Tamandua tetradactyla: one gene and its partner. The protein of the gene in region 1 interacts with the protein of each later gene in a pairwise test. Links are inferred from orthologs where the notes say so. Each region holds a gene or a part of one and is shown in the gene's direction. Other genes may lie near its edges.

Evidence for each region.
Region 2: the proteins of PNMA1 (region 1) and TNNI1 interact in binary tests that used the Homo sapiens proteins (3 or more experiments, as listed by UniProt). The two-hybrid records come from large-scale screens. The link is inferred for Tamandua tetradactyla from reciprocal best matches to the Homo sapiens genes PNMA1 and TNNI1.

Annotation. Positions count from the first base shown.
Region 1 is NC_135338.1:32,581,945-32,589,768, reverse strand, and holds PNMA1 (paraneoplastic antigen Ma1), read left to right. Parts: upstream 1-4,820; 5' UTR 4,821-5,610; coding exon 5,611-6,672; 3' UTR 6,673-7,477; downstream 7,478-7,824. Other genes in the region: MIDEAS (mitotic deacetylase-associated SANT domain protein), read left to right, coding at 1-33, 450-639.
Region 2 is NC_135330.1:58,480,430-58,487,960, reverse strand, and holds the start of TNNI1 (troponin I, slow skeletal muscle), read left to right. Parts: upstream 1-4,522; coding exon 4,523-4,543; intron 4,544-7,126; coding exon 7,127-7,168; intron 7,169-7,531. UniProt on the Homo sapiens protein: Troponin I is the inhibitory subunit of troponin, the thin filament regulatory complex which confers calcium-sensitivity to striated muscle actomyosin ATPase activity.

The DNA of each region.
Region 1 (7,824 bases):
GGAGAACACCTTCCCTTGTAAAAAATGTGGCAGGTAAGATGGCAGGCTCTGCCTCCATGGGTTCTCCAGTAGGGGGGCGGGTCAGAAAGTCTGATTGGGCGGGGGAAGAGGTCTACCTTGTCTTCTGATTGGCTTATTGGGTTTCTGGGGCAGTGACATCGTTTGGCAGCTTTTAGAAGAGAGGCATGGCGCTGAGTCAGGAGCCTTCCCCCTCGGTTCTGGGAGAGGGGGAAGCTGGGCTGTGTGGCCTGGGGCACGTCGGGAAGGCCTCCGTTGGAGCCCTCCTCACACACATACACACACACTCACACTCACACTCTCTAAGGCCCCCGCTGGAGCCCCCCTCACGCACACGCACACTCTCACTCACTCCCCCGCCTCCCCAGTGGTCCCCGGGGACTGGGAGGACCAGACCACTTATGTGAACTCCCGCCTGTGCCCGGCTGCAGGGTATTCTACAAGGTGAAGAGCCGCAGCGCCCACATGAAGAGCCACGCAGAGCAGGAGAAGAAGGCTGCAGCTCTGAGACAGCGGGAGAAGGAGGCCGCCGCCGCCGCCGCAGCAGCAGCTGCAGCCGCCGCCGCCTCCCCACACCCGCAGGCCCTGCGGGACGACGGCGGCGCTGGCGAGAAGGGCTGACGGCAGGGAGGGCGCGGCCGGGCGAGCCTCGGCCCGGGCCCCCCACCCCCGGCCCCTCCCCGCACCCGCCTACGGAAGCGCCTGGAAACACCCTGGAACCTCCGGAGGGAGTGAGAAGAGAATACCATAGACTTTCCTCTGAAAAAAAAAAAACAAACCAGACAGTCAAATAAATGGCTCTTTTATTTATAAAGGCCCCAAGGAGCAGTGTTAATGGGCAGCAGCATCCAGTTCTCTTTGCATTTAGTCTGTTGGAAGTTGTCCTCATGCTTTCGTGGAACCGTGAGAGTCCCCACTTGGGCTGCCTCCTCCGAAGGGGCTCCAGCCTCTGCGGCCGGCCGCTGCTGCCACCTCTCACACTCTGACCTCTGCTGCCGCTCGGTCTCTTCCCTTCTTCCTTGCTGTCCCATCCTCCCTCCCCTCAGTCTCCAGGAAGCCGCCTTGGCAAGCCAAGCACAAACTCACCCCCAAGCTTACCCCCATGGCAGCATTATTCCCCCTCTCCAGAGGACCTCAGAGGCCTGGCCCCCATCCCGAAAAAAAGGCACTGTTGGCGGGAATGTGGTGGTCCAGGCCTTAAGCTGCTCCGTGACTATGTCCTCAGAAAGGCCACCTTCTCCTGGGAGGCCTCCAGAATGCATCGTGGGAGAGTCGGAGGACAGGTACCTATCCCATTGTTGCTTGCTAGCAGCCCTGTTGGGGTTGGAAAGTTTTCTCAAATGTTTGGGGAAGGGGGCCGGGTCCCTGTCTGAACGCTTAGCCTGCTGAAAGGAAGGAAGCAGAGCTTTTGACAAACCTGGCTCTTCCTGCTTCCCACCTCTTTGCCAAATACTTTCTTGGCCCTGGAGGTTGCCATGGGAGTTTAGCCTCGAGCAAGGCCTGCAGAGGCCTGGAGCCATCCCCAGCCACCCAGCCGGTGCCTCTGTGCGGCAAGTACCCTACCTGCCTTTGTCCTGCCCTCAGCAGTTACCCCCCAACTCCCCTCAGCACTGTCTAGTGCTGATGCCCACAGCTCAGCTTCCCAATCCTGCACGCTGGAGATTTCTGGATCTTTCCCTGGGAGAGGGAGGTCTCCTAAGTAGATTGGAAAGGAGCCTTCATTTCCTTGACTGGTGTCATTCAGGAGCTATTTATTTATTCTTGATATTTAAGTTTTAACATCCTCTCAGGGACCAGGGGGCCGCCTGCTTTCCAGAGGCCCAAGTGCATTTATCCCCAAACAAGGCACCTTCTTGGCACCACTCCCCTGCCTCCCCCCTCAGTCCCAAACCCTAAGGTCCACGCCTTGTTGCTCTGGAAGCTCTTGCCGGTAGGAATGATGGCAGCATTGAAAGATGGTAAAAAAAAAGGTGGAGGGTGTCGGGAGCTAGCAGGAGCATTTGGGAGATCAAAGGCAGTTTTTATTTGCTGCTACTTCCCTGGCTGTACTTTCAGATCGCCTGAGGGGATTGACAGGAGGCCAGAATTCTAATTTTGTTTATCACGCCTAGATTCTGGCTTGAAGAAGCCATATTTGGCATGGAGTCACTGAGGCAAAAGGGCTGGAAGGTTTTAGAGGCCTCTTCAGTTGCCAGTCCCATAGGAGAGCTGAGTTATTTTTCTGTTCTTGTTATTCAGCTTGAACTGTGTAGGAGTTCTAAGTGAATACAAGTAAATGACAGGTCATACATTTTAGAAAGAAACCCCACAGTATGCATTCTGCTACTCCTTTTGAAATAGCCGCCTAAAAGCATCATGTTAGTAACTGAGAGTGGGGAGGGAGTTTTGTTTCTAAACTATGCACTATCAGGTATTTTTCAATATTCATTTATTCATTCATGTGCTTCTACCGGACCCCAGCTATAAGAGTAACAAAATTCTTCTCCCTCCCCGACTCCTGGATGACCCCATATATTTCCAGCTTCCTAGTCAGTTTCTTCCATAGACTTCTATAAGCTACATGGCCCAAGATTGCAAAAATCTGTTACCCTTCTAGAAGCAGGAGGGTAGCAAATTTAGACTAACTTTTAAATCACTTGTGGAATATGAGTGCCTTCTCAGCTTAGCTCCAAAGTGCTACTTCTGTGTCCCATGTTTGTTTTTTTGTTTAAACTGTATTTAGTTTCAGGCCTCTTCATGGGCGTATAAAGGAAACAACCTTCAGTTTCATGAGACCCTGCTGACCAGTGGTAGCATCCAGTCCTTTGACATCTTTTTTTAACAAGAAAATGATTTCTTCTCAGCTCACGAAGACCAGACCAGGCGAATGTAGATGGGGAAAGTATTAATTGTCCAGCAGCCTATCTACCAGATACCATATTTTAGGAGGATCCATGCTTAAGGATGGATTTATATCTAGAATGCAGTGTGAAAATTAAAATGCTCAGAGGGCAGATGCAATTGTGGCAAGTGCCCCGCCAATACAGTTGATGCAGCCATAGAAGCTGGTATGTATATCTCTCATGGTGCTTTCTCCCTGTGAACACAGTCAATTCATTACCCACCCCCTCCATTTTTTCCTCTTCAGAGCTCTTTGCTGTAGGAAGTTGTGACAAAACCTCCAGTTTCATAATGCCCTCCTACACTGTCCCACCATATCCATCTTCCAGCCTCCACCTGCACTCAGCTAAGGGCATGACACTGACCTAGTGCCTGTATTCCAGACCATTTCTGAGGTCTCTTACCTACCCGAGGAAGCAGTGCTGTCAGCACTGTCCTCCATGCCTTCAGCAGCCCCCTCAAGCCCTTTCTGCCGCCCCACCTCCCGCTGTGCTAAGTGAGGTCCACCCTAGCACAGAGGTCACATGCTGCTTGTGTCTTAAGGGATGGCCTATGTTTAACTGCCTCAATGATGTAACCTCTTTCTTATGTGCCAGATGTTAAGATGAAGGAGGAATACACATATACTCCAGCCTCAGCTGTTTAAATGTGTTTTCACTGGGGCCTACTTTCCTTGGATCGTTTATTACCAGACTGGCAAGCCTAACTCCTTAGGTTTACAGGAAGTATGCATATTTTTATAAAACAATTCTGCATCCTCCCCACATTTGGCTGTGTTACTATTTGCCTCTAACAATTTGCAGCTGTTATCACTTTTTCTTCATTGTCTCTCAAGTTGAAGGCCTTGTTGGAGGGGACAGAGCACAGGAACAGCCTTGACAGTCTGTAATTATTGTACAAATATTTTAATAGCATATAAATACTATATTCCTTTTATTTTGAAAAAAAAAAGATCAGACACTGCCTTTTGTGTGTTTGCTGCCTGTGGCACCCTTTTTTAAAAAGACTGTTACATATTAAACTAGTGTACATATATTATAAATATTACCTCTTTTGCTGTACAGTTGTGATAGACCAGACTGAAAATTTTATTTTTTGTGTGCTTTTTATAAAAAAAAAAATTAATACACTAAAGAAAATCTTGCTGATGTGATTGTAACGTACCTATGTAACTTATTTACTTTTGAATGTTCTTCTGTATCTTTAAACCTTTTATTAAATAAGGTTTTAAAAATTCAGAGTTGAATGCTGTGTTCTTTTGCTTTGTTTTTTTCACCAACTGGGGTTGACATAATTAGGCCTTGTTTTGCATACAAGGGATGACACTGGACATTTTTGTACACGGATTCTGTTTTACCAGCTCATTGTCGACGCTAGGACAAGAAAAAATTCACACTGATGGTGTCCTTGCTACAAAGGTGACTGAGTAGAAATAATGTATCTACTACCAAGTTTTAGGTAAGAAAATATTTAAACTCAGTGTCGCACACAAAAACATAAATGACATGCCTCCTGGTTTCATTGGAATTAAATGCAGGATGCAGGGTATGGTCAGGTGGCCGGGGTGTTGAGAACATTTTATTATGCAGCATAGACTAACTGAATGAGCGACCTCAATACACAGGCCTGAATGATGGGTGCATTTTCAACAATATTTTAAGTCTACTCTAGATCCTTATTTTTAAACACGGTGCTTAGCATATTTGTTCACTGTAAAAAAAACAAACAAACCGGAAAACGTGAAAAAGGAAATGCGCCATCAAAAAAACCATTGCCCACAGCCTGTCGCTGGCACCATGGCAACGAATCGACTCAGCCCGCCACGGGAGCGCGCGCATTTCCCGTCGCCTGGGACACCGTTGCCATGGTTACACGCGCGCTTGCTCCGTCGTGGGGGCGGGGCGCGCTCGACGCCTCGCGATTTGGGCGGCGCCCTCCACTGCGGCAGAAGCTCCTGAGCTCGCTGTGAGGAGGACGCTCTGGTCGCCACGCTGCACCAGAGCCCGCTGCGACCGGCGCGCTCGGCTGCCCCTACCCTCGGTCGTCTCAGCCGCCATAGCCTCGCCTCTCCGTCCTTCTAGCCCGTCTGCCGCCTCGGTCCCCGGTCATCGTCGCTGCCTAGAAAGGTCCCTGCGCCCGCGGAGAAACCATTCCCGGCTCGCCTGGTCTGGCCGCCGTCGCCTCTGCAACGTTGGAACAGCTCCCTCGGTGGACGGCAGAGTTCTCCAGGCCGCCGCCCTGAAGGCCTAGCTCCGTCCGCCAACGCCTGATCGACGCCCGGAGCGGCTGAGAGCAGAGGCGGCCACGCCCCGCAACCACACCCCGGCGGCCTCTTCGGCCCGGAGGCTCCAGCCTTCTCGACCCGCCCTCTCTTCTCGCCTTCCTCGTCGCGAGTCAACGCCCTGTCTGCAGGCGACGGACCTCGGCCGTGGAGCCGACCGGAGACGCAAGATGGCGCCGGCCGCGTGACTTACTAGACTGAGCGTCCGCGAGGCCTCGCTCCGAGAACGCCCGGACGGACTTACGAGAGTAGTACTTTGGGGTAGGGGAAGGGCGAGGGCAGGACTTTGGTATCATTTGTTAGTTGTAATTGCGGGAAGCTTGCCCCCCTCGTGTTTGTTCGGGGGAGAGTCTGGTATTGTGCTAAGCCCTAGGCCAAAGCCACAATCGAATTCGTACTTGTAAGGGTGCCGCCACTTGATAGTTGGGAAAATGGCGATGACATTGTTGGAAGACTGGTGCAGGGGGATGGATGTGAACTCCCAGAGAGCCTTGCTGGTCTGGGGAATCCCAGTGAATTGTGATGAGGCTGAAATCGAAGAGACCCTCCAGGCAGCAATGCCCCAGGTACCCTATCGAGTGCTTGGGAGAATGTTCTGGAGGGAAGAGAATGCGAAAGCAGCCTTGTTAGAGCTCACTGGTGCTGTAGATTACGCCGCTATCCCCCGGGAGATGCCGGGTAAAGGCGGGGTCTGGAAAGTGGTCTTTAAGCCCCCAACTTCTGATGCTGAGTTTTTGGAAAGGCTGCATCTTTTCCTAGCGAGAGAGGGGTGGACCGTGCAAGATGTTGCTCGGGTCCTTGGATTTCAGAACCCCGCTCCGGCCCCAGGCCCAGAAATGCCAGCAGAGATGCTAAATTATATTTTGGATAATGTTATTCAGCCTCTTGTTGAGTCTATCTGGTACAAGAAGCTGACCCTGTTTTCGGGGAGAGATATTCCGGGGCCTGGGGAGGAGACTTTTGATCCCTGGTTAGAGCACACTAATGAGGTCATGGAGGAGTGGCAGGTGTCTGATGTAGAAAAGAGGCGGCGGTTGATTGAGAGTCTTAGAGGCCCCGCCTCTGATGTCATTCGCATCCTCAAGACCAACAACCCCGCCATAACCACTGCCGAATGTCTGAAGGCTCTTGAGCAGGTGTTTGGGAGTGTGGAGAGCTCTAGAGATGCGCAGGTCAGATTTCTGAACACTTATCAGAACCCTGGAGAAAAGTTATCTGCTTATGTCATTCGTCTGGAGCCTCTGCTGCAGAAGGTGGTGGACAAGGGGGCCATCGATAAAGATAACGTGAACCAGGCCCGCCTGGAGCAAGTCATTGCGGGGGCCAACCACAGCGGGGCTATCCGAAGGCAGCTATGGCTGACTGGGGCTGCGGAAGGGCCGGCCCCTAACCTCTTCCAGTTGCTGGTGCAGATCCGCGAGGAGGAGGCCAAGGAGGAGGAGGAGGAGGCTGAGGCAGCCCTCCTGCAGTTAGGCCTGGAGGGGCACTTCTAAGTCCCTGGAAAAAGGGGGCTTTAGGGCAGACCTAGATCACGTCTGCTCCATTGTTTGTGTTATAGGTGTGTTCTCTGATTAGTAAATCCATAGAAGTGTTCTGTTGTGTTCTTTTTGGGGTGGGGGGAGGGGGAGTCCGGCCTGCATATTAGTGTAACATTTGTAAAATTGCAAGCGAGCACTGTGAGCTGCTGCAACAGTGCAAGTGCATCATGCTGGCTGAAATGCCAGGTAAAGGCTTGAATACGTGCTCAGTGTGAGCTGTCATCGTGGCATCATTGTCAGTTGTGAAAAACAAGTGAACCTGTGCGCTTCCCATCAAGGTTGTTAAATGAGAAATTGCATGTTCAGACAGCACAAGGCTTAGCTGAAAGGAAGTGTTCAGTAAAAATGTGAACTTTTATTGTTACTAATATCGTGCATAGTTTGTGCTTACTGTATATTGTTCCTAGTTTATATTAATGGAAAAGAAATGTGAATTTATTAGATATTTGTTATTTAACTATAAAGTGCAATTTCATATTTCTCATCTTTAAATGTCTCTCAGTTTAATTGAAAAGTATTCTGAGACTACAAAATGGGGTGTTTGAAAAATACTGCAACTGTAGAGGTGTGTAAATCAAGAATTTTGATACAAGATACAGATATAAATCGCCTGAGAAGTTGATAACCTGCAGAATAATCCATTCCCCCATTCTCCATCTTTGTCATCAAATAGTAGGTCTCCTTATTCTTGCTGATTCTAAGTGTTCTAAAATTTGAAATTGTTTAATAGATGTATGCTAATAAAAAGATTTAAAACTTATTGTCTGATTTTGTCATGTATAAAATTCTTCAGTGTAATTTCAGCTCTCTCTCCTTTTCTTACAATTTTTTTCCTTTTTAACAAAATCAAACCTTGATTTATTTTTAAGCTTTATCATTATGAGTTAAAATTGTAATTTCTTTTAATATATTCAATTTTTACATGTTTTTAAGGCAAATATTAGGAAGTTAAATAGATATAAGTAAAATAAAAATTTTTAGGTTAATTTTGAGATGGGGTTTAGGGAGGGTATCTGGCAATGTTTTTATTTCCTTTTTAAATCCCTTCTCAGCAAAAATTTTGTTTCACTGAAGTAGTAACTGACTCAGTATACATTCATGTGTAAA
Region 2 (7,531 bases), on another chromosome or scaffold:
TCTTTCCTTCTGCAAAACTCTTGTTGGAGGTGCAACCTCCTCCCACCCAAGGTGGGTAGAGAAGCTGGGATGGATGGCAAACCTGGACAACAGAAATAAGGCTGGGAGCCAGGAGCCGAATTTACCACAAGGTTCCAAAAGGAGCCCCAGAGCAGATGGTTTTTACATCAGGCTGCTCGTAGGTACAGTGGAGAAAGGACACCCAGGGGAAGGGGTGGCATTGGGGGTCAGAGACAGGGGCTGAGGGGCTGCACTTGGAAGTTTAGGGTGAGCCCAGGGAGCCATCAGAGTGAGTGATGGCCGCAGTGGAAGGAAGGTGAGTGCTGAAGGTGGGAGAGGCTCTGCGGGAGCTCAGGAGATAGGACCAGAGGCCCTGCTGACCGAGCCCACGTTGCCCCTTTGTTCTCTGTCTCTGAGGGGTGCTTTCAACTTCCCTCGCCCATCCATCTGTTTGGTAGGAAAAAAAGCAGCTAAGGGCAGACTGCCAACCCGTGTGGCAAAGGGCCAACCCGTCTTTGCCACTGCCGACTCTGAGGTGGCAGGAGTTACAGGGGGCACCCGCTGGGGGAAGGCAGATGGGACCAGCTGCTGGAGTTGGGGCACGAGAGACTGAACGCGTGAACGAGGGCAGCTCTACAGTGGGGACCAGGCTGGGGTGGGGGCGGGTGTGGGGCCTCTGATAAGATGGGGTGTACATAGCAGCAGATGTGGGGCTTGGAGGACCAGGGATCTGGCTTTAAAGGGTTGGGGACTGAGGGTCACACCTGCCTCCAGGTTCAAAGTCACAGCCCCACAGCAGGTCTGGGGCTAGGCTTTCCCAGCTTACATGGGGGTGCGGCGGGTGGAAGGCAGTCCACGGCCACAGGCTTAGGAGTACAGCTGTGGCTAACACTCAGGTTGCCCTTAGGAGGACAGGGATGCCCTTGAACTCGGGTCCAAGGTCAGGGTGGGCAGGGGAAGCGCATGAGCCTAACTAGGAAATTCATGTTTTCTGCAACGAGATCCGTTCCTTTCCTTACTCTCTCTCTCTCTCTCTCTCTCTCTCTCATGCGCAGGCACACACACACAATCACGTTTACACTTTACATGCACACTTATATGCTCAGACACACTCTCACACACAGCCTCAATCCCACAGTGTAGTTTGTATTCCTTCTCTACCCTATGGGGCCTCATGGAGCAGAGAATCTGGCTCTGAGTCAACCACTGGAGATTCTTCGCTCCCTCCCTGCAGTTGTGGATTTTCTGCTTATCTCCTTACTTGATGCTTGTGGAGGAGACAGAATCCTGGCCCTCCAAGCCCCGTGTTTGCTGCTATCTACATCCTGCCTTCTTATCAGGCCTCCGCTTGTCTTCCACCGAACCTGTCAAGGGGTCCTGTCTGGCGGGTGCCAGAGCCCAGGCTGGGGCTCCTTGTCTGACGTGGGACCCCTTGGCCTGGCATTTGTCAGAGGGACAGGCTGGGCAGCAGGAGGCCTGCCTGGCGGGCCACAGCAGGCAGGGGCTTTGCAGTGCTGACTGTGGGCTCTCTGGGGGAGGCAGGAACATGGCCAAGTGCCCACCAAGGCGAGGCCAGGGAGACAGACCAAAGGTCTGCTCGGCCCAGACCCGCTGCCCTCTGGAGGTTGGGGTGGTGGGAGGGTGATGATGATGGATGGGGAATCTAGGGGTGGATTTTCATCAGCTGGCATTTTCTTTTTTGGATTTCTTCAGTGTCTATAGAGGAGTGGAGCTCTCAGAATAAGCAGCTGGCTATAAAATCTAATTTCAGCCAAGCATCTCGGGAATGTATGGGTTGTTTCCACACCTCTCCCTCTGTGCCCATGGTGACAGCTGAGGCTCTGGGGTCTCACTCCCTCCCCCTCCTCCCCTGGGGGCAGAGGCGAGGGTGGAGGCCCAGAAGGTCTTCAGGCTGGGTGGGAGGTTCAGGAGAAGGGGGCACAGCCCTGCTCATTGGGGTGAGGAAGACGGCTTCATGGGCATAAAGGGAAGGGAGAAAATTAAAGCAGAGGAAGGGGGCAGCTCTGGAAAGAAAGCATTGGTAGTGACTTTGCAAGAAGCCTTGACGTTTTGCTCCCCCCCCACCCCCCCTGCTCCAAACTGGGCTCCTGAGCAAGTCCACACTCCTGGCCCTGAGCCCCACGCTGCTCGCCCACTGATCTCCCCTGTTCCTCACTTCACAATGTGGCTTGAGATTCCTGTCCTACTCTACATACCTGTTCCCCATGCCAGATGTCCCCTTCCCTCCCTGAGCTTTTGCACATCACCCTTGCCGTTGGAATGTTCTTTCTCCGGGCCCAGACAAGATGGTGAATCAGGTCTGGTTTGGGAATATCGTCCCACTCTGCAGCATCAAGGACCATCTTCCTTGGATCACCAGGGATGATGGATCTTCCAGGGGTCACCAGCTCAGGGGCTTCAAACTGTGCCCCATGGCCGGGGGACTTACGGCAGGCCACAGAGTATCCGCCTTCAACCAGGCTGTCCTACTCTTACTGATGGCATTTGTTTTGCTTCCAAGTAAAATTTGGTTTGAACAAAGAGTTGAAGAGCTAAATAGTAAGAGAAGAACCACTCATCTAACCCCTAATTTGCAGAGGAGAAAGCTGGCCCAGAGAAGTTAAGGATAAAGACTCCAGCAGGCCTCCTGGCCTAACTGTCATTCAGGTTGTCCCATCGCCCTACCCAGGGGAAGACCAGTCACGCCGTGATTTATGTGAATACACACCCCTGGGCACAACTGCATGGTCTGAAATGTGAATAGCCCCCCCTGGAGTTGTCATAAGGTAGCTCCTCTATCCCATGTTCCACACAATTCATCTTCTGTCTGTTCCCTCTGTGTGAACGTCAACAGCCACTTATTATCCCAGGATAAAATCTAAATTCAGCTCGTCATTCAAGACTCTCGTGGGTGAGCCTCAGCTTCCCTTTTCAGCCATATTTTCCATGGACTCTATCCTGTTACCCACAGCAGTTGGTAAACTTTTTCCGCAAAGGGCCAGAGAGTAAATAGGTTTTATCATACAGCCAGATTTGGCCAATAGGCTGTAATTTGCTGATCCCGTCCCACTTTTGTTTCTTTCTTTTTATTTATTTTTTATTATTATTATTTTTTACATGGGCAGGCACTGGGAATCGAACCCGGGTCCTCTGGCATGGCAGGCAAGCATTCTTGCCTGCTGAGCCACCATGGCCTGCCTGCAGTTTTGGTTCTTATATTGCTTCTTCTCCTTTATTAGATTTCTCTCTCTCATGGATGAATGAGTGAATGAATAAATGAAAGAATGAACAGACAAATATTTACCCCATCCTGAGCCACTGGAATCTGCTGTCTGATTTCTTCTTCCCTGGTGTATGACTCTCTCCCAAGGCATACCTGGGTAGATGGGGAGGGGGGAGCAGAAGCTATGAGGTTTTCACACTAACGACCCCTCTGTGTCCTCTAGGTGCTGCCCCCCTGCCACCATGCCGGAAGTGTGAGTAATCCGCCCCCCTTATGCTTCGGGAAGGCCTGTGCCTTGGCTGAGCTCAGCCCCTCACTGAGGGACCATTCTGCTCTACCCAGCCTCTGATGGTTTCCCCAGAATGTTGCCACACGCCCTCCCAGTCTTCGAGCGGAACTCATGCCCAGCAGCTGAGCAAACTGCTGGTTTGCCCAGGGAAGACCATTTTGGCCTGTGTTTCAGAGTTTGTGTGTTTGCGCTGATCAAATGAAATGCTGGCTGCCAGGCCCTGACTTAGCATTGGCCTAGTAGATGAACAGAGTGTTGGCAATTTACCCAAAAAGCCCAGGATGGATCCTTTCTCATCCCTGGACTTCTACATTGAGGCTGGAAAAACTCTGACTTCCCTCATCTCCCACCATCCCTCATCTCTCGCCATCCCTCCCTGCACTTACAATGACCATTATCTCCCAGTAAGAACTTCTGGCAGCCCAAAGGGCAGTTGTGTCTTTATTCCATCCTATGGAACCCTTGAATTAGACCCCTGCCCTTCCCCCACGGCTGCCTCCCTGCCTTCTCTCTGCTGCGTTGTCCTCCCTCTCCCCCCAAGCTGGAGGGCGTGTGTCTGCTGCTGCATGTATAACACGCATTGTTCATACTCATTTTGTGTTCTGCTCTTTCTCCCTGACCTTCCTGCGATGGATGCCTAAAGAGAAGTAAGTGATATTTGGGGTGTCTTTTTTTTTTCTTGGTTAATTCTTCAGACTGATGAAGGTGGGGTGGGCATCTGAGGAGAGGAGTGAGTTTGGGTCAAGACTGGGGTGGGGGAAGGCCCAGCAGCTGAGCCAATTTCCAGAATAGAAACCTCGGTGGAAGATTCTGGAGGCAAGGCTGGCAGTTGGCACTCCAGTGCACCATGCCGCTGAGAAGGGGATCCTGGGGCTGGGCCCACAGCTGAGCTGGGTGTGGCTCTGCCCCGTCTCCTCACTCTACACCTTTGCCAAGCACTGAGCAAATTCATGCTCCCTATGTCTGGGAGCTCGTCCAGCCCTGGGGGTGGGGTGGGGTGGGTGGGCATCATGTTCCCTGCAGAGCTGGCCGTGAGCAAAGCCATATTTGAGGCAGAGGAGGGGATGGTTATTGGGATATTATTCCACTCCTGTCCAATGACTAAACTTTGAGGAAGGAGCAAACAGGTGTCCTCAGACCCCCCTCAGGTCTTAGATACCCCTGACTCTGGTCATTCTGTACAATCCATATTTATTCAGGCTACTGAGAACATAGCCTGTGCGCGGCCTGGGGATGGGGGCTGCAGGGAGAGACCTGAGGACTCAGGGATGATGTGTGGAGGAATTAGGAGCACTGATGGAGGGATATTTCACAGAGATTCTCTGTAAGAATTGAATGTGCTCATTTTTTTTTAATTTTTAATTTTTTCCTAAACATAACAACATACAAACATGAACATCCTTACCAGATGATCATTCCATTCTTGGTATATAATAATAACTCACAATATCATCACATAGTTGTATATTCATCACCATGATGAATATGCTAATTTTTTTCATTTTAAAAAAATCTAAGAATTTAATTTTTAAGTTAAAAAAACAACAAACAAATGCAAACATTCTTAACTTATGATCAGTCTGTTCTACATATATAATCAGTAATTCACAATATCATCACATAGTTGCATATTCATCATCATGATCATTTCTTAGAACTTTTGCATCAATTCAGAAAAAGACATAAAAGACAACAGAAAAAAATTCATACATACCATACCCCTTACCTCTCCCTTTCGTTGATCACTAGCATTTCAATCTAAATTTATTTTAACATTTGTTCCCCCATTACTTATTTTTATTCCATATGTTTTACTCATCTGTTGATAAGGTAGATAAAAGGAGCATCAGACACAAGTTTTTCACAATCACAGACACATTGTGAAAGCTATATCATTATATAATCATCTTCAAGAAACATGGCTACTGGAACACAGCTCCACATTTTCAGGCAATTCCCTCCAGCCTCTCCATTACATCTCAACTAACAAGGCTATATCTATTTAATGCATAAGAATAACCTCCAGATAACCTCTCTACTCTGTTTAGAATCTCTCAGCCATTGACACTTTATTTTGTCTCATTTCACTCTTCCCCCTTTTGGTTGAGAAGGTTTTCTCAATCCCTTGATGCTGAGTCTCAGCTCATTCTAGGATTTCTGTCCCACGTTGCCAGGAAGGTCCACAGCCCTGGGAGTCACGTCCCACATAGACACGGGGAGGGCAGTGAGTTTGCTGGTTGTGTTGGCTGGGTAGAGAGGCCACATCTGAGCAACAAACGAGATTCCCTTGGGGGTGACTCTTAGGCCTTATCTTAAGTAGACTTGACCTATCCTTTGTGGGGTTAAGTTACATATGAACAAATCCCAAGATTGGGGGCTCAGCCTATTGCTTTGGTTGTCTTGAATGTGCTGAGTTTTGATAGTCATATGAATCTCTAACTCCATTTTGCTGAGGTTCATACTTAAGTGAGGTTCATACACATCGATTGGTGGTTCAGTGAGGTGGCCCATAAGTTCACCAAGTGGTTGGGAAAACAAACACCAATGGAATATTTGCCATGGGTACATTACAATGTGTAAAGCATAGGAGAAAGCAATTATGGTAGTAGTCCATTTCTCTTATCCGAAACATAGCACACTTATCTGAAACATAGCAAAAGCCTAGGCTCTAAGGGAGGAAAAAAGATAAACAAACTACCCTCAACCATCAGCTTAGAAGTCACACTTTCCATGCACTAAAGTTCATTCATTTTCTCTCATGAGAGCTGCTCACTCAAAGTCTGATCATTGGTACTTTACAGATTAGAATAACAAACTAGAGCTATGCTTCCCCACACATTAGAAGTAGATAGGATGCTCACTGGTAACTATGAAAATTGATGACCTATGGTTGAGAAAGGACAGATCCTCGGAAGGCACAGTGGTCTCACCGGTTAGGGGTTGAGCAGCTCACTCACCTCCACTGCCCCTGCTGTGAGAATGAGATTTAGCAGAACAGAACTGGTTGGCAAGAACATATTTAGTAAAATTGATAAGAAGAGAATATAGTGTCTTTACAACTTTGAAAAATTTATATGGATGATGTTAACATTGAAGATAGTTTTGATGTCTAAAGAGATGTGTTTTGTTTGTGTGGGAAACAGCTTATTTCTCTAGCACAACAGATCATCAGGATATTCCTATATGAGCATTCAGAATACTATCAACGTGCATCTCTTTTGTGCCTTTCAAAGACTTGCACATCCTTAATCTCATCTTGTTTGTCATAACTTGGTGAACTAAGTAAAGCGGGTCCCAGTATCCCTATTTACAGGTGAGGAAGGGGTGACCATGAAAGTTGTGTGACCTGCACAGTATCCTACAGGATTGCACCAGCAGCAGAACCAGAATGGGCAGTGAGAGCTTTGGTCCCTAGGTTGAGATAGCTGACTACAGTATTCTTTCTGAAGTTGGTGGGTTCAATCAGGAAGATGAGCTTTTAAGGGACACTATGGGAAGCAGAGGACTCTGGGTAGTGATGGTGAACCCAAGTTGGTGCTTATCCCAACCTAGACCGGAATTCCAATTCTGCAGGCTCAGCCTCACCATCTGCCTCTCCCCTTTCTTGTCCTCAGAGAAAATCCAAGATCACCGCCTCCCGCAAACTCTTGCTGAAGGTGAGGCCGGGTGCTAGCTTCAGGGGGAAGCAGAGGGAGTGCAGTGAAGCTTCTGAGGGGGCATGGAGGGGCACTGAAGGGTGAAGAGGAAGGAGACCACAGCGAGGACGCCAGTTTGCTGACGGAGAGGTCGAGGGAATCTGGCTGTGGCCCAGAACCAACACCTGGGCACAGGTGACCAGTGGAGGGCACCTCAAGCTATGAAGTGCTGACACCTGCCTAGGGTCCTGAGAGGAGGTGACCAGCTTCAGGGTGGAAATCCACAGGTGACAGCAGAGGGACTTACTTCGGCAAGAGTTTCTTCCTTTGGGTCCCTGCGGGGCCAAAACAGATAAAAAAAATTGTGGGTAAGATGAGAACTGT